2 linked regions of the Astyanax mexicanus genome follow. The protein of the gene in region 2 binds, or shares a complex with, the protein of the main gene of each other region. Links are inferred from orthologs where the notes say so. Each region holds a gene or a part of one and is shown on either strand. Other genes may lie near its edges.

What was found. The genes of interacting proteins can lie anywhere in the genome.
Region 1: pold1 (region 2) and DNA polymerase delta subunit 4-like share a complex: the UniProt entries of both Homo sapiens proteins name them as parts of the tetrameric DNA polymerase delta complex. The link is inferred for Astyanax mexicanus from reciprocal best matches to the Homo sapiens genes POLD1 and POLD4.

Annotation. Positions count from the first base shown.
Region 1 is NC_064414.1:44,549,893-44,559,602, forward strand, and holds DNA polymerase delta subunit 4-like, read right to left. Parts: upstream 3,651-9,710; 5' UTR 3,516-3,650; intron 3,189-3,515; 5' UTR 3,187-3,188; coding exon 3,084-3,186; intron 2,944-3,083; coding exon 2,854-2,943; intron 2,258-2,853; coding exon 2,146-2,257; intron 2,046-2,145; coding exon 2,021-2,045; 3' UTR 1,949-2,020; downstream 1-1,948. Other genes in the region: ssrp1b (FACT complex subunit SSRP1), read left to right, coding at 5,366-5,419, 6,236-6,421, 6,516-6,621, 7,396-7,589, 8,234-8,334, 8,671-8,800. UniProt on the Homo sapiens protein: As a component of the tetrameric DNA polymerase delta complex (Pol-delta4), plays a role in high fidelity genome replication and repair.
Region 2 is NC_064426.1:26,989,843-27,000,310, forward strand, and holds the start of pold1 (DNA polymerase delta catalytic subunit), read left to right. Parts: upstream 1-5,635; 5' UTR 5,636-5,796; intron 5,797-7,552; 5' UTR 7,553-7,561; coding exon 7,562-7,748; intron 7,749-8,582; coding exon 8,583-8,696; intron 8,697-8,796; coding exon 8,797-8,937; intron 8,938-9,154; coding exon 9,155-9,280; intron 9,281-9,365; coding exon 9,366-9,534; intron 9,535-10,468. UniProt on the Homo sapiens protein: As the catalytic component of the trimeric (Pol-delta3 complex) and tetrameric DNA polymerase delta complexes (Pol-delta4 complex), plays a crucial role in high fidelity genome replication, including in lagging strand synthesis, and repair.

The sequences.
Region 1 (9,710 bases), on a different chromosome or scaffold from region 2:
ACACGGAAATTATCATTTTTCTTCCTTAAAATTGGCGGTCCCTGGTGTTTAAGGTGCTGAACTGCAAGTCGAGATCCCCTAAAGAAGCTCGTTAAGAATAACGACTGGGTCAGGGCACTCGTTAATCTGCGAGCGAGTTTACGTAGTACTTTAGTTACGCACGGGTTTGGGAAACACTCTTTAATTAACGATCAATCTTAAGTACGAGATAACGAAGTTCTTAGCGTTACGAAGCTTTCGGGAAACCCACCCCAGATCCAGTAATTGTTGATCAGTCCTGCACACTATCTTGGAGGAATTTTAGCCCATTCCTAGGTATAAAAGAAATTGAACTTTGTTATGTTGGTGGCCTCTGTGGGAAAACTTATTGCTGCTATAGACTAAGATAAAACTTAACACTTTGTGAGAACTCCCAGACCTAATGAATGAGCATATCAGCATATAGTACAATAATATCAACAGAACTCCCACATTTACCTGCTGTGGTAATGTAGTCTGATGTATAAAACCAACATATTGATTCTGTTGGCATAAAAGTGACTATGAAAATACCTACAACTTTAGTTAAAATACAAAAGAAATAAAAAAAAATAAATACCAATAATTATTTAAATAATCATTCATTAATTTGTCAATTTAATTAATTAAAAAAAAGAAAAAATAGACAAACATTATACAGGGTATACTAGAAGTCACCTAAAATAATTGGTCTGAGCCCCAGATTTTTACATACATCCATACAACACCCCATAAAAGAAAGCAGTAAAATAACCTTCAACTCACGGCTCATCATACAAACGACTTAGAAGCTAACAATAGAGCAGCAACAATAGTCACTGTTCTCCTCTCTACTGCTCAGTGGAGAATCACAGGGTTATTGAACTACCTGTGTTTCTGATCTAAAAATCAGCATTAGTGAGACTTGCTCTGTGTGATAAAGCAGATACTTCACAGGATGGTAGATAATTTGCCAAATAAAAATATTAAAATAAAAACCTGGGTTTAACTTCACAACTGTTAAGCTGTCTTAACAGCTGAGCTTTCTGTCAATATTGTGTGCCTTTGTGTGACTGTACTGTATATTCCTTAGTACTGTATATTCCTATACTTCTCAGGCCATTAGTATTAATTCGTTAGCACAAGTAAATCAATCCAGCAGTTAATTTCATGACCTTAGCTTATGTAAGCCTTATCTCTAGAAATTGTGGCTGGTGCATTTTCATGTGTCATGTATTCTCAAAGCACTACCAAACCTACAGAAAATGCTTTATGTCACGAAACAAGCTAATATTCACCTATAAGGTGTGTGCTTGTACTCTGTGTACTTCATTTAGAAAATTTAAAGAATGGATGGACCTTATCATATTATCTCACTATGGGTTTTCTTATTTTTAATTAGTGTTTAATTAGTCATTTTCTTTGCTCTAATTTGTACACCATATTATTTAAAGCCTGTTCATGTTCAATTAGGGTTATATTAAACAAAAACAACACATTCTAACATATTCCAAAGTCTGCAGCGCCAAAACTCCACAGACCAATGCTGGAGCTTTATAACTTAAATTGCTGATGACTGGCTTTGGGCCTAGTGAGATTATTTTCAATATGCTGCTACTTCCATTATTAAAGCTGATACAAGCACTGTGATACAATCACCAACAGATGCATCCTAAATTAACAGATTTTGTACACAATAGTCTATCCTTTTCATTTCTTTGACACTTCATTCCCAATCGTAGAATAAACTATACAACCTGCCAGTTGCAATCAAGGCATTGTGTGTTAGCCTGTTTTGCTTACCTGCTGAGTTTGATAATGTAGCTCACTTCAAGACAGACAGTCCAGTTTAAGAAAGAAAATACCTTAAAAGTTGATGACAAAGGGATGCTTTTGTTAAAAGGGTTTTACTATAAACGTAGTGTAAAACATGGCAAGCTCACATGTTGGATCAATCATGATCATAAACAATCAACAATCATCCACTCTCACAATCTTCTTTTTTCTCTTCAGGCATCTTTCTTTACAATGGGTAATCCCGCCAGAGGCTGAAATACAGGACAGAACAAACAATTACATATGCACTTACAGACCTCCATGTATGTGTAATATTATTATTTTTGCTAAATATATTCATGCTCATAGTACCTATGTGTGTACTCTGGGTCCACGCTCTCCGTCAGCAGTATATCTTTAATCTCATGTGGGGGGTCCAGCCCATGCAGTGCTGCCCTCTCCCATCTTTGTAATCGGCTGATCCCTACATACACATTCACACATGCAAGAGAGGAAGTACATAGGTACATACCAAAATTCCAAATGACTTCTATCCTTCTGTGAAATTTGTTAAGAAGAAAAAAATAATCAATACTTTATTTACAATGTGCATATGTTTATCCACATTTAATAATTTAGCAGTGGTTCTGGAGGCACCCTCCTCTGTATATTTTTCGCTTTTCCTTATTCCAACACATGCTTTAACTACACTCTCATACACTCTCATATGCAAAGGCTGCATCATTAGTCATCATTTGCAAGACTGAAACTAGATTCCTTTTGAGATTTTACTCATGCTTCTTATTTTGGCCACATCTGAAGCAATATGTGCAAAAGTTTGAATAGAAAAAAATCTCTGACATTTGTTAAATGTGTATAAGCAAGGGAAACACTACAATTGTACAGCAGGGTGCATCCTAGATTAAAATTTCCCCCCAAATACCCAGTGTTTTCCAGCAGCCATTTTTTTAGTTTGAAAGGGGCATTTCTTTGTACCCATAATAATATTAACTTCCTGAGCACTAAGGATTTGTCAGTGTAATTAGAGAATTATAAACACTTCTGACTCTTTTGTATTACCTGTGCATGGCCCAAAACGCCAGTCCAGGTCAAACTTTCTCAGTTCCTGCAGATCAATTTCTCTTTTACTGGGGCGAGGAGGTTCTGGATCTGAGAGATCATCAAATGGTAATAACATAACAACAGAATAACAATTGCAAATCTTTCCATTCATCAACATAGTTTTGATACCAAACTATATAAAAACAACATGATTCTAACTTAAGCTGCACACTATCACACAGTCTCACCTGCAGCAGGTGGTGAAGGAGGTCTCTTGTTTCTTTTGTCATCTTTCCTCGCCTTCTTCACTACTTTAAATGTGTCAGTGATGAGACCTCGTTTGGCTGTCATGCCTGGGGGAAGGGAATCAATGGTGTCCGACAACACCCATCAAGAACCACACATTTAGGACCTATCACATGCATGTCCCATGTACTTTCATTTTCCCATTTGGCCAAAAACTCTGTCCAATATGATCTGATACCCCCAAATATCAGAATTTTATCCCAGTTAAAGTTAAAAAACACTGTCTACGTGTACATAATACTGAGCTGAGCTGTGCCCAGTCTCAGGTATTGTTTCCTGTGTCTTAAACTCAGACCGTGTTCACATATTTATAAACAGTATCTGTAGCTCTCGTGTTCATAAATGTTTTACAGTTCTGAAGCTACAGCACTCACCTGCAGCTCTGTGTATCCAGTGAACACTGTAACCACTGTAAACACCGCGGATCCTCAGTCAACGATAAGATTTCCTACCCGAACGTTTACAAAACAAGGGTAGGGGCGTGGCCAAGCACACTGCGTGATGACGTTTGTGGGGGGCTTATTTCGTACGTATGACGTACGCACTCATGTTGCTCTACTGCCTCGTTCGTTTCAGCATTGAACCGATTCATTTGAACCAAATTATTCAAACGATTCATAGTCTCACGTTAAATCATAACAATAAAAATGACAACAAAAACAACATTAAAAACCCTTTACCTCTCCTTAAATTTCTGTCATGTTATATTATTATTATTATTATTATTATTATTATCATTATTATTATTATTATTATTATTATTATTATTATTATTATTATTATTATTATTATTATGACATCTTTAATTTACTAAGTGAATTGGTTAATTATGAGATTTTATATCATAAGTCTATACGGTGGGTATCTACAATTTTTTTTATAATATTGAGTTGATTCTGTTATTCTATTAGTTTTTTACTACTACTACTACTACTACTACTACTACTACTAATAATAATAATAATAATAATAATAACAATAATAATAATAATAATAATAATAATAAATTATTTAGACCTTAGAGTTAGACACTAAAATACTACATTAATACATAAATTATGACATTTTATATAAATAATTTATAGAGTATCTCCTTTTTTATTCTGATATACTACTACACAGTTAATAATAATAACGACATAATAATTACTACATAAATATATGGAAGTATCTATTTTTATTTCAAGTGTTTAAGACTATCAGTCAAATATAAGGAAATATAAAAAAACATATTTTTTATTTATTTATCAAAACAAAGCTACAAAAAAGTAAATGGCTCGGATTTACTTGTTTTTTTAAATGACTCGATTCAAAAGAATCGTTCATTCACGAGTTGGACATCGCTAGCGGTTTCCTCTCAGTTCCAGAATTCTCCAATAAACAGTAAATGCTATTTAACAGCAGCTGCGCGGTTCAGCCCTCGCTGTGACTCAGGAGTGTGTGACCCTGTAGTGAGACGCTGTGTGCGGATATCAGATAAAAACGAGTCCTTTGCTTGTTGGAGGAATGCTAAGCTGCAGTCTATTTCAGGAGCAGCAGCTCACAGCTAGCTATCCAGCTATTAGCGAATATGTCTGCGTGTGTTTAGCTCGCTGGCTGGGCCGTGGCACTGTTTAAAACTGTTTAAAATAAAATTGTCAGATTTGCTGCTTAAAATGTTAGCTAATAGATTCATAGCAAAACAGTCAGACAGTGAGTTTGTTAGTTAGCTGTCTGTCTAACCAGGTGTTCTGCATGGCAGCTGTTCTGTTTCTCCATCAGCATCTTCATTTAGCATCATTTAGAGAACAAAAAGGTGCTGCTGAACTCCATCACTTTATTTAAGGGGAGCTCAGAATAGAGAAGAAGCAGAACTGAACTTCTGCACATTCCCCATAAGATATGTTTCACCTGTACCTTCACCCCCCCTTCAGGCTTCAGAGAGCAAAATCAGCTCATATAGATAATATATATCAATACCAGCCTGTCAAAGCACCTGTTCTGACACAGCATAAGATTTGAGCAGTTTTAATCCATTGATTCTGGATATGAAGAAGCATATATGCATATGTTTTAAACATAATTTCCAGGATTTTACCATCCCCAAATGCGGCAACACAGAAAAGTGCAGTGAGAAAATATTTGTGATAAAGGGAGAACAGATTTGTATGTGTATTGATTTCTCTTACTGTTTTTTTTTCTTTCACAGATTTGTATTGCTGGGACAAGGGAGGAAACTGCTGGCATGGCTGACAATCTGGAGTTTAATGATATTTATCAGGAAGTTAAGGGTTCTTGGGTGAGTATCTTCAAGTAGAGCACTTTACAGTATGTGATAAATTGAATGTCTGTTTTCTATATATGTAAAAATAATAAAAAAATAAAAGTAATGTGTAGAGATTGTTTTTAATAAAAACCCACTGTTTTATTATTGAGTGTAATCAATTAATTAATACACAAAGTCATTCAGAGTGTTTTGACGTGAAATGATGGACTGTATAAAACTTGCTGACACACATTTTTTACAGTAATCAAGGGTCAGTGTAAATATAGTAATTTATTTGCTATTCTACATAATCCATCTTCTGACTACTTATATGTAATTCTGATAATAGTAGTAAAAAGTAGTACATCAGAACTGTTTTCTCATTTGTCTGTCTTCGCATGAATCTCTCTTTAAAAATATTTAGCGTTTTGTCCAAAACAAAAACAATGTTGCAAGCAAAACGTATCATATATGAACAGTTCTTGAAAACACAAATATTTCTTAATTTGTTTGTGAAAAAAGTAAAAAAAAAACCTGTGGAATTCCCATTTGAATGTAAATACAAAACCATGCACTATATATCAACAGGCTTAAGCTATGCATAATGTGTTTTACACTTATCCTATTGAAAAATATATTTAAAAAAAACATTGCAGAAATTATTGTAGCCATGAAGATAAATTAAATTGTCACCATGTTTTGAAGACGTTGTCTCCACATCTTAGCCTGCTTCAAGTAAGATGTTGTTAGCATAAAAATGCAACATGCTTTTATAAAAATACATATGTATCATTCACATGTGCCAACAAATAATGCAGAAGATTAGCACAAGTTCCTGTATTTTTGCAGAACGATGGGCGTCTACGGTTCAGTAAGCAGACAGTGGTTTATAAAAACAGTAAGACGGGGAAGGTGGACAGTATCCCTGTCCCAGAGCTCACTCAGGCCCAGTGGAGGAGAGTCTGCCTGGGACACGGCATCAAGCTCTGCACCAGCACTGGACACGTCTATAAATATGACGGCTTTAAGGACACGGTGGGTGTAATGGCTGTTTATTTTGTGTGAATAAAATTCAAAACAATATTTATTTTAATTAAACATGTTTATTCTTTATTTTGTTTCTTTCAAGGACTTGGAAAAAATCTCAGAGTATTTTAAAGCCAATTATAAAGTGGAGCTGGCTGAGAAAGACATGTGTGTGAAAGGCTGGAACTGGGGAACTGCTAAATTCAATGGTTAGTATAAGTTCATAACATAAAGTTTTTTATGTCTAAATTAGTTTGGTTTAATGTGAGGGATTGTAAGTCATGGTACAGTGCTCTGTGAGGAAAGCTATTAGTTAAGTGGCTTGCGTGAATTTAAGTCTAGTCTAGAGGCTTTACTCGTCATTTCAACCATAAAATTCTACACAGTGGAGCGAAATAATATTCCTCCAGGAGCATGGTGCAACACCATGTGTGTGTGTGTGTGTGTGTTGAAGATAAGGTGGGGAGATTTAAAACATTTTATGAAATATAGATATTTTACAGTCAGCTTATAGAATATGATCACAGTAATTGCAGAGATAAAGAGGGTACAGTTTTTCTAATAAATACAGTACTCAGCAGTAGGTCTGTCACGATAATTACATTATTAACTTGAAATAAAATTGTGTTTAATTCTTGGTTTGTTCACATATATAACAGTGAACAGTATTTTAGCCAGTCATGTAATGATCAATGCTTTTCATGTAATGACCAATGCTCTCCAAACACACAGTGTGAACTTCAGTAGGTGAAGGGAAAAAATATTTTATTCCCTATAATATATTTTGTTAAGCCATTTGTTAATAATTTGTTTATCCATTCTGTAGTCATTATGTCAGTGGCATTTAAATATAAAATAATAAAATAATATCATTTATTGCAATCATTTCTGGACGATATATATCATACACATAAAAATGCTATTGTGACAGGCCTACTCAGCAGCATTACTAAAAAATAATTGTCCTCTGAATGTAATTCTAGGCCCACTGCTGTCATTTGAGGTGAGTGACAGCCCTGTGTTTGAGATTCCACTCTCCAGCGTTTCTCAGTGTGCAACTGGAAAAAATGAGGTCACACTCGAATTTCATCAGAATGATGACACAGAGGTGTCCCTCATGGAAGTGCGGTTTTATGTCCCGCCCACCACAGCAGATGAGGGAGCAGACCCTGTGGAGGTGAGAGAGAGCCTGTGTGTGTTTGTGTATGTGTGTGTGTGTGTGTGTGAGTGTGTTTTCTCTGTACAAAAAATCTGAGAATAAGTTTGATGATGTTTGTGCTAGGCATTATGACCTGAAAAATCATGATTAATTGATATTAGTTAAGATCAGAGTTAGGCTTATTTTTGCATATAAATGCACAAACTGGATGATGAGATCTTTTGTATGCATTGTTTTACTGTGACCACTAAGAGGAGCCCTTTTCAAATAAACAAGATCTACATTGGGCTGAGGACAAAAAAGAGACAAAATATACTTATTATTATCATTATTATCATATACCAAAAAACTACAAGAAATATTAAAATATAGAACATAGTATTTCTTTGTGATCCAGCTGAAGGGAGTGGTTAGGGTCACATCAAATGTTCTAAGAGCTGCACTTTGGGCAGTTTTGATCCAAAGAAAGTCTAAATGAGAATGTGAATGAAATCAGAGGTAGCGCCTCTCTCAGTCTGGACTGTCTTTTTTTAAAGCATAAAGTACAGGTTTCATTTTAAACACCTCTTCCACTAAGATCAATTACAGGCAGTTATGAGGATCCTAATTCTATAACACTCTTAAGCAAATAGACTAAACGGTTTAATGTGATTCTCTTACAGGCGTTTGCTCAGAATGTTCTTTCTAAGGCAGACGTGATCCAGGCCACAGGAGATGCTGTATGCATCTTCAGAGAGCTGCAGTGTCTCACTCCCAGGGGCAGGTACAAACACACACACACACAAACACACACAAGGCATCATGTCTCTTGGTCATACTGTCAACATGACTGCAAAAAAGAAATTCTGTTTAATTCTATTGTTATATTGCTGCTATCTGCAAAACCGTGTATCTCCAAAGTAGCAGCTTAATACTTTCAGGTTAATAGATCTGATTACAACTCATTTTATAAGCAAGAATTTATATTGGCCTATATATTTTAATGATGATCATATTTAAATGAAGAGAATATAATGCATTCCATGTTGTATTATTTCATTAAAATAAAGCATTACTCAGTTTTAGTGGTATTTGTCATGTTGCTTCTTTCCTTTGACAGGTATGACATCCGTATCTACCCCACCTTCCTGCATCTGCATGGTAAAACATTTGACTACAAGATTCCTTACACCACGGTACTGCGGCTCTTCCTGCTCCCTCACAAAGACCAGAGACAGATGTTCTTTGTGGTGAGTGATGGTTCTGCCTTTCTGATGAATATTTTATATTTAAGTCATTTAAGTCATAAGATTTATATTTTATATTTAAGTCAAGAACAATTGAAATTACTTTAAAAATTGAGAAAGAATCTTGAGGCCTTCAAACATTTAACAGTAAGGTCTTCAAAGGTCCCATATCTTTAAAAAGTGTTAATAATGTAGTAATGTATAATACATAAAGCATATATATATATATATATATATATATATATATATATATATATATATATATATATATCGCTTTTTAAGAACAGGAGTATTTAAAATAAACTCACTTTGAGATTGTTCCTAACTTACATTGGGATCTGAGATTTCCATTGTGTCCCAGTGCTAGAATCTTTTCCTCGCAGAAGAATTAAGTTTTATTGGAATTCTACATTTTAAGTCATTCCTCAGTTATAGAATTAAGTAAGGGCTTTTTAATGTCCACTCACCAGTTTCACTTTACACAAAACATAATTGGCTGATCCTATAATAACACATGACAGATTCACAAATACACCAGTTTGACACACTAAGAGGCAAGACTGGGCTGTGGTACGACAAAGATATTACTAGAAACATCCAGAAACCTTCATGAAAGCATTAAATGTGACTGTTTTTAAACATTTAAATTAGGGTTGTGCCATTTTGTATCGTACACAATAATATAACCAACATTTTTTGTAATATTGTGATTGCAGAAATACCCTGAAGTATTAATTAGGGGCCATATGGGCCATTTGGGTTTTTTTGCTGTTTGTTGAAAAAAAAAATTCACACTGTTCTCATTGACCATTAAATATAAATTAGACAGATTATTTCCATCCAGAATCATTTATTTTACTTCAGTTCAGTGGATATATGGACTGCATTATTAGTATCATGACCTGTTAGATTA
Region 2 (10,468 bases):
TGCAAATATGCTATATATATGCTTTGCCTATTCATTCAGAGCTAAGGAACAAATGGCAAAAGACTGTCTTTATTTTAAAATGTTTCTAACTGTTGTTCGTCTGCCTGCCTCACAGTGCTATTAGCCAATCAGAGGTAATATGTTTGCATCATGTTTTCCCTCCACTCCTCCACTGGACTAAAGCAGCGTTATAATGGATCACTGGAGCACTTTTTTCACAAAAAAACAGTTATTAGAATTAGACATTTTAAAATTAACAAAAAAACAATGGAATGAGACCTTTAAAACATAATTCGATTAATCAAATTAATTTGATTAACCTCTCAGCCTTATTCCAAATCATTCTTGAGCATTTCTATTTGTCTGGATTCACATTACACCAAAGGGTGAAAAAATAGTAATTTTTAATGTTTAATATTCACATTAAAACCATTAGATTTATTGGATATACTAATAGAGCATGGCTCATGCTGGCCTATTTTTTTGTGTTAATTTTATGTTGCGATGAACAAAATGCTTCAAGCCTCACGAGTGCATGTGGCATGAGCATCCATGTGTGTGCATCACTGCGTTACATGATGCCAGCATATGAGTCTGCAAGTGTTTGTGTTTAGGAATAGCACTGTATATCAGTCTGTAACTGCTCAACACATACTTTCTGTCTTCTCTGACACAGACAAGCAATTCCACAGCTAATTTAATGACTGCCCCAAATAAACAAATGCACCTAGCATGACTCTCATGTGCTGAAATGTTACTATCTCTCTCATCGACACCACCACAATCACGTGGGTCATTCTAGAATTGCATGTCCAAAAAACATTTTTCCAATTAGTTTCTAATAATAATACTAGTTTTATACATTTTTCAGCATTAATACTGCTTGGTGTATGATTTTTTTCTGCCCCAGTGTTCTGGTCAACTCTCTCTGTTATCTTTAATAGAAGTTGGTTAAATTGTACAAACAGTTATAAATCCATAATATAAAACATGTGACTTGCACCCACTTATGACACTGAAGCTTCTATCTGGAAATGTAAAAGGCAGAGAGATGTCAAACTTTCAGTGTCATTTTTGAATAAACTGTTGAGGATAAACCAACAGTATATAATTTATTGGTCAAATTTGAGTAATTCTTCCATTTGTAATCTAGTTTATGAGGTAACACACTGAGTTACGGAACAAAACGCTGGAAAGTGTCAAAACGTGTTCATTTTTTAATGGTTTAGATGGTTTAATGATAACTGACTAATATGTCAAAGCTTTTCATACACGAAATGCACCCACAATTTTAAAATGGGCCACAAACACAAGTTCTCAGACCCTGGCCTCAACCTCATATAAGTTAATGGATTGAACCTTATCTAAAGGATGAAGGACACAGAAAGAACTGGGATTACAGCAAGAGGTGGTGGAGATTAAGTAACCGAGGAAGGAAGTAGAGTTTTGTGGCCACATCAAGCTAACACTTATTTCGAGTCAGAACATGAAATCATACATTGGTGGCTTTGGCCTACACACAAAGTCTTAAGGTATTAAAGACATTTTAAAAGATTTGTAACACCACCTTAATGTTTTTTTAAATCAGCACTGCTAATACTAATCCTAATCTCACTTTAAAACCAACCTAAATCTTAAACCTAACACTGCAGCCAATCTAAATAAACTGTTCTTGAGCAAAACAAGGGCTCTGCCTGAATTGCGTACAACCATTAATACAAAAATGTGTATTATATATAATAAAAGTAATAGTACAGGTTTAACAGGTAAATACACAAAATATTAACATTCACTCATCCTGATTCATACTCATATCAAGAGGATGTGATGAAGCAATGCTTTTCATTTACACATAATTCTCTTGCCACTGTAGCTGCCCAACATTTTTTCCCAAATTATACCTCCTCCCTTTTCGTTTCCACTGCATTAGGAAATAACAGTTTCCATTTAAACCATTTTATTCTCAAAAACTGAGTGGACCCATTTATGCATCATGGATTTCTGACAACACTCAATTTAAACTAAACAAACCTAATCAAAAGCAATTGGGACACCCAATGTAAATGTGACAGAGAATAAAGAGATACAGCAGAAATGAAGGTCAAATGGGGGTTAAATGGAGGTTAAGGCTGGAAAGAAAAGCCACATCACACGTCTTCCTACTGCCTAAAGAGTGCACTGTATAGCAAGGGTTTCAAGGGCCTTGTGCAGCACTTCGCTGAATACGCAATAGGTTTTCTCCATCCTAAGACTGGCAAACGTTTGTTTGTTTAGTTTCTGTGTCATTGTATTATTTACTATTAAGCATTAGTGATGCTTATTTTTTTTTAGTTTTGTATCATGTCAACCCCAGTTTTGTATTTGGATCTTATGTGGAAATCGAGATAAGTGATTAAACTAGCTTATAGGGTGTAATCTAGTGTGGGTGACATTTTTGGACTGCTTGACACAATTCAAATTTGTTCTCAAATAGTTATTTAATTAAAGAATGAATCAATAGAACAGAGTCAGGCAATGTGACAAGAAACACATTTATGTGGACAGTGAAAGAAAGAAGTATACAGAGAGAGACGTACAGAGAGAGAGACAAACTGATAGAGAAATAAACAGAGAGAGAGAGAGACATACACACAAAGAGAGAGGCATACAGACACATACAGAGAGAGAGACATACAGACAGACATACAGAGAGAGACATACAGACAGACATACAGAGAGAGAGAGACCTACAGACAGATATACAGAGAGAGAGAGACATACAGTACTTAAAGAGAGAGAGACATACAGAGAGACAGACATGCACAACCGACAGAGAGTGTCTCCAGGGTGAAACCCAAGGAAATTTAATTTTCATTACAGCCACGACCCGCCCCCTTCAGGGCACACATACACACCCCCTCTAACTCAGACTCTCACGGGCAGCACGCTGTTAAAGAACACGCGCCTATCCCACAGCTCCGCTTTACGCTCAAACACATTTCGCCCAAGACTGGAGCTTTACATGTTTAAATGTGGTTAGAATGTGGTTATAAACACGGTCCACGGTGGTTTGTAAGCGTGCGTGCGCGCGCACGCTCTGTCCCCGGTGTGGCGTACGTGCCTTCTTTCTCGCCGCGCTGAACGTCACACTGTGACCAGGACAACAGCAGCGCGCGCGCACAGCCTGCCCTCAGATTAATAACACTACACAGCGCTGCAGGTCAGTGCAGCTTTTCATTAAAACCACACACAGCTACATGTCTCCTGTGCAGAAACGCACTGCTTGCTCCTGCTCCTGCTCCTGCCCGACCCCCCTTTACCCACTACTTCCCTGGACATCAGCCACCAGGAAGGACGGGCAGTAAAGTGAGTTTTATTCTCACGAGCACCAATAACAGGATTCAGATTCTCACGCGACAGCGTGCGCGCGCGTCTTTCCGCGTGCACAGAACAGCAGACACGCTAATGCTCGTGAAAAAAAAAAAAACATAAATATATAAAAGAGACACAAGCTCACCCTGCGGCGGCGTCCTCGCCTGCGACGCTCTCGCATCTGCGCGAATCAATCACCAAACAGCACGACCTGACCGCGGAGGAGGAGCCCGACCAATCAGAGAGCGACTAGCCTCTGACGATCCACGTACGTGCAATGTGATTGGTTTACGCGGAGGGTCTTAAGCCATCTGATTGGCGGAGCATCGTGTCAATTAGGCGCTGACTGCTCGTGAGGAACGTGAGACTGTTTTTAATGCTGAACGATTTTATCCCCCGGCAGAGAAAAGGGCAGCACAGTTATTTTTACAGCACGCTGTAGCGGTCAGAGCAGAATATAGTGGTGACTACGACGTGAATAGATGTGAGGACATCACAGAAAATACACACACATGAACACAGAATGTACAATGTACAGTCTTAGTTCAGTGTCAAACATTTATTTTTATTTTATAAAATATACACATATTGGCAGTGTGGACAGTGTGCCAAGTCCTGCTGGAAAATGAAATCCGCATCTCCATAAAAGCTGTCAGTAGAGGGAATCATGAAGTGCTCTAAGACTTTGGGCTTGATATAACACGGTGAACCAACACCAGCAGATGATACGGCTCTGATTGTGGAAACTTCACACTTAGACCTCAAGCAATTTGGACCGTGATCCTCTCCACTCTTCCTCCAGGATCTGGTCCCTTGATTTCCAAATAAAATGCAAAATTTACTGATGGTCAGTGATGGTTTGGAGAGCCATGTCATCTGCTGGTGTTGGTCTACTGTGTTATATCAAGTCCAAAGTGTCCAACTGTAGAGTGATTTTCTAAACCAGACCACACACATTTCAATGCATGCATGTCTTTACGTGTTGTACAAAACACTAATAAACCTTCAACTGATCTATCCAGCCTGTCAGACACCATACACAAGCCATGTCCGTGTTAAATGATTACTACTGGTGGAATATGAGATGATTTTACTCAGTTCTGCAAATAAACGCGGACATTGTGTTACAGTCCCTGTCAGGGATTAGACCAGAGTTCCCCATCACAAGTCGGGCACGTGCACTGCAGAGGGTAGTGTTTTTACCCTAGCTCTGTGAGCATAGACTGTATATAAGATATGTATCCTGAGTCAGAATATATATTGATAACCTGTCAGCGCAAAACTGTAAAAAAACAGTACAATGGCTGAATTTTTTTCTTTTTTTTTTGTAAAAAAAAAATACATGTTTACATTGAAATTATTGAAGACCATTATCTATTATTATTATTGTACTCCTTTTCCTTAAGCAGCATATATTTGTAAGGTAAGTAAGAGTGTGGAGATTGCATAACTATACTATCCGAGATGCTGCGCTTGGTTGACTGATTGACTGATGAACTGATGAATTGATTGATGGATTGATGATTTATGAAGGTCACCCTCCCCCCATAACATTTCTAATGAATTGGATGCCATTTCCTGCATTCTGGTGTATTTTTAACAGGTTGTTAAACAACAAATTTTATCTACAAAAGAGGCGTAATTCAATTACTCTTTTAGAGTCAGACAGAAAAAAATATCATCTTTTAGGAAACTGATTCGAACGGCTTGAAAAAAGATTCAAACCTTTAAAAAAAACTGATTCAAACTGCTTGGAAAAGATTTTAACCTTTTAAAAAAACTGATTCAAACTGCTTGAAAAAAGATCCAAACCTTTTAGATAATTGATTCAAACTGCTTGGGAAAAAATGTGAACTTTTTAGAAAAATAATTTAAACTTCTTGAAAAAGATTCGAACCTTTTAGAAACCGATTCAAACTGCTTAAAAAATATTTTTACATTTTAGAAAACTAATTCGAACGGCTTAAAAAAGTTTTAAAACTATTCGAAAACTGATTCGAACTACTTAAAAAAGTTTAGAATATTTTAGAAAACTGATTCAAACTGCTTTAGAAAAAGTTTTGAATCTTTTGGAAAACTGATCCGAACTACTTTTTGAAAAAGTTTCGAACCTTTTAGAAAACTATTTGAACTATTATTTTAATCTACTTAAATAATTCGAACTATATGTATATAGTTCGATGCATTTGTGGATCAGCATGACAACAATACGTTTATACGTGTGATCGTAAAAGTACTTTTATTTTATAAGATGGTTTTTGTAACAGGGCAGCTTCCTGGGTTTGAGCCAATCACTGTCCGCGACCCCCTTCACGCAAATTTGCCGGGAAACGGAGATCGCGGCATGTATACGAGCAGAGAGAACAGTGGAGCGCGTGAATGTCAAAAAAGTGGCGGGAGATTCAGGCTGGGTCCGAGAGAGACAACACAGTATTGATCTGAAAAGTACGGGCTTCTATTTAACCTGCTAACCCTGTTTACTTACACGTCGGGTTGTTTAGCTACAGGTCTGCTAGTTAGTTAGCGTGCTAGCTGTGTGCAAACCGGTTTTGGTACAGTGTTAGTGTTAACACTGCTTTGCTAACTGACTTTTCTGTTTATATGGTGAAGCTAGTTGTTGCTGCTGCTGTTGTCTAGGTTGGAATTTGACTGTTCTGGCAGATCTTTTATAGTTTGGATATTAACTAGATTAGCTTAGCTATGAAGCTTAACTACGTGATGTACTCTAAAACGGTGTTGTATTGTTCTGTCTGTTTTTTAGTAGTTTTCTGCGGGTCAAGGAAACTTAGTAGTTAGTTAGCTAGCTAGCTTTAGCTCATGTTTGTTTGGCTCTAGCTAGCTTACCAACTTACCTATTTAATATATGGTTGATAACCTTGTACTTAGCTAGTTACTGTAACGTTAAAGTTGCTCCTCTGTTTGCGTCTTTCTGTTGTTTATTTTCCTGGATGTTTTACGTGCTATGTTGGGTAACAACACAACAATGGGGTGATAGATATTATTGCTTTCTCTTTGTATTAGCTAGTGACACTTCTGCTGTCTGACAAGCCACGTTAAGCACATGAACAGGGACTAAACTGCTCTTGCTTCAGCGTCTCTCTCTCTCTGGAAACACAGTTTCTTTTATAACTAATTTCATAAATTATAAATATAATTTACTCGCAGTAAAAGCTAATAATGCTGAGAATGAAAAATAGCGTAGGTTAGCTGGGTTATCAAACCGCTTTGGTAGATTTTTTTTTTTTTTTTTTTTAGAATAGACCAGTTTCCTTTGCCCAAGCCTAATTAGTACTTTTTGAAGCTATCCTCTAGATGCAAAACTTGGCAAAGTTTGGGCGCTATTAAATATTTTTTGTTTTTTAAATTTATTTCCCCCTTTTTGATTTGAGGTGTCTTCATATTTAAAAAAAATATTTCGGTTTTGGATTTCGTCTGTGTTCTTTACATCACAGAAACCACAGGACACCAAACATTGTATAAATATTAAAAGTAATTAAGGTGGTTGACAATAAAAAACACATCATATAAGTAGAGCTGGACTACATGTCGATATGTTATTGTATTGTGATAAATAGGTTTTTTTTATTGAAAATATGCCAAGGATATAGTTACTCCCTAAAGAAGCCTGACCCAACTGTACATTTTATTACAGAGAGTGTTGAAACTCCTATTAAATTGAATCATGTGCAGCAGATATTATATATAAATAACTTGACTGTTAATGAAAGAGTATTTAAATACTGTTTAGTACATTTTTTATAGAATCTGCCACAATAAATACATTGTTTTATAAGATATCTTTTAATACTGTTGTATAACATTTTCCATATTGCCTAATTCTCTCAGTACATGATTATGTACAGCAAGAGTGGTGGGTTTTATACTGTGCATATTAATATTGCAGTTATATCGTATTGACTGAAATTAAGACATGTTGTGATATAAATGTTCTCCATATCGTCCAATCCTACATATAGTTATACAAGTTATTTTTGCGTTTAAACATCCCCATATTAAAAGAAATATACGAATAAAAGTTTAATTTAGTTCAGTGACTTTGATTTAGTGTTTGAAATGATTTGTGCACTTTTACTTTTGCCCACCCACAACTGGGATATTCCACCGTCCATTAATGCATTGATCTTTGTTTAATTAGTACATTAACAGTGTTGACCCTTATATGTATGTGTGTTTACTGTAGGTGCTGAGGATGGATGGGAAAAAGCGCAATGGTGGGCCTACACTGGGTGGAGCCTCCCAGACTAAGAAAGGCCGAGTGGGTACAGATTGGGACGATGGACCTTCCCATTTTGAGGAGGAGCTTGCTTTATTTGATGAAATGGAGATGGATGCAGAGTCAGGGGAGGGACAGGCGGGTCATGATGTAATTCCAGTGGGTAAGTGGTACTGCCAGAGTTGGTCCCAAATTTGTATTGTTTCACAAAGCAGGATTTCTCAGTTATTTAATAACATGGGCCCAATCCCCTTTCTCATCTGTACCCCTACCCCTTGTTTTCGAGTGTCATCTTTCTATTTGAACTGAGTTACAAAAGGAAGTGGATGAAGTTCTCACTCTACAAAATGATTCAGCCCTGTTTGATTAAAGAAATGTACATTGCTTCATTATTAGGATATTAGGGATGCTCTGTAGACGACCCTGCAATTGGGTTCAGATTGATGAGTTATTTATTATTGTCCGTCCCTATTTTCTCTGTTATAGGAAGATAAAGTTACCTATTCACTAACTACTTATTTAAATTTTCCCAAACCACCTTAAATGCCAAAGTCCCAGTAAATGCTCCTCCACTATTGTAGGTGGAACAGGATTTTTTTTTGTTATCTTGCTTGTTATGAAGAAAAGGCCCATAATTTATTAAAAAATATAAGGTAAGATGCAATGGTTTTTATAATTTTTAACAAATATAAAGGTTTATTTGTGGGTTTCTTCAGTTCCTTTAGGTAAGAATGTACAAAACGGAAGGGTAGGACTAAGTGGTTGGGACAAGAGGTGAATTGGGATGTGCCAAAAAGTGCCAAAAATAGGACTGCCCATAGGAATGTATAACAACTCTTCTCTTATTGGACAGGCAATTCAGGTCCTGCTTTATATATATATATATATATAACCTCATCTTGTTTTGTGTTTGAGAAATGGTATTTTATGTTGGCTAATTATGTTAAACAATTTATTTTTTATTTTGCATTTTTTTCTTTTTTCTTTTTTGGCTCAGGTGACTTGTTCTCGGCTGATCTAAACCCTCGCTGGCGGCGTCCCACAGCTCCTACTATCAAACCTGACAAAGACACCCTCATCTTTCAGCAAATAGATTTGGACTATTACCTGGGTAAAGTATTCTCAACCCTAGTGAGAAAGCAGCTACCGGTTTCATGTATTTTTCTTTTATATTCTGATGTTGAAATACATCCATGCATGCATGTGTGTAGGTTCTGCAGTGGCTGGGATGCCAGGACAGGTCCAGGGGAAAGTTCCAGTGGTCCGTATGTTTGGAGTGACCGATAATGGGAACAGTGTTTGCTGTCATGTGCACGGCTTTGCGCCTTACTTTTATGTTCCTGCTCCCGCTGGTGAGTAAAAACAACCAACACTACATACGTTATCATTAATAATCATGCTTTATTATCGTATCTATACTGATTAAGATTAGAGATGACATGCTGTGTGTTTCTGGTTGCTTTGTTTTTACAATGAGAGCTAAATATGAAAATATGGGACCATAGAACGCAGATTGCCTTCCCATACTGATTAAATATGAATAATTCATGCTAATTTTCTTTCTTTTAGGTTTTACTGCTGCTCACCTGTCTGAGTTTCAGAAAGAGCTGAACTCTGCTGTGTTGAAGGACATGCGTTCCAACAAAGACAACATATCTGTCACTGTGCTGGCAGTGGACATGACCCGCAAAGAGAGTATGTTACATCTTTGTGTGATTTAAGGTTGTGTGAATGTACATGTTTAGTTTGTTATAAATTGCCTTTTTTGTTCTTATTTGAGATATGTATGGTTACCATGGAAGCCGTCCTTTGGACTTCCTGCGGATTACCATGGCAATGCCTCGTCTGGTTGCCCCGGCGAAGCGCCTGTTGGAGCAGGGCTTTAAGTTTGCGAACTTCTCCACACAGAGTTACTCTCCCTATGAGGCCAATATTGACTTTGAGATCAGGTATGTAAATATGGATGGTTTTCGCCTGAATCAGTAGATTTTAATAGATGGTGTAGGTTGTGATTTTTAAAGACACAAAAGAAATTAAACTATGCATCTGTAAATTCCTTGCTAAGAACTACATGTGGCTTGTAGTTATTTGTAAAGTGAAACCTAAGAGCTCCATCTTCGGCCAACAGTCTTTATAAACAGCTTATGCCTGCACCATTTCAATAGCAACAGAGCTTATGAATATATCTATGCTAATGGCTGTGGTGATTTTGAAATGAGGTGTGTTCAGGTAAATTCTGACGTATTGTTATCTTTGCAACGGAAAACACAGGTTTCAACTGTCAGACATTTATTGCTATCTTGGCAGTGAACTGTCAACTGGTGCATCCCCAATGCATGTACACCCCTGCTTTTTACACAAACATGGACACAGCAGTGTAAATACCCTTAGGTCATGCCTGTTGGCAGCTATGCAAACTTAAACAATAACAATAAATAAAATAGTACAAGGGGTGAAAAGGGGTTTGCCCTACGCCCCAAAATAGGACCGCCATAGTAATTTATAACATCGCAAAATTTAATCACGGGTTGGTTTTGGGCACAGGGTACAAAGCCAGATGTGGTCTGACTTTGGCGGATTGCTATTTCAAGGGCACAACTACCTGGACATGCCCAATGCTTCTTAGCAGAGGAAACTGACCTGCACATTAACGCCTATTCATTCTGTGTTTATTGTTGATGTAAAAGCTTGCATAGCTGCCAACATGTATTGGGGATGCTGCAATTTATTGGCTAACATAAATTACCGTCTCTCACATATATAAATATATATATAAAGCAGGACTTCGATTTTTAGATGCTCAGATACATCTTAAGTGCCAAATCTAATATAAAAAAAACATCATCTTGTTTTTGAGAGACGGTAATTTATGTTAGCCAATAA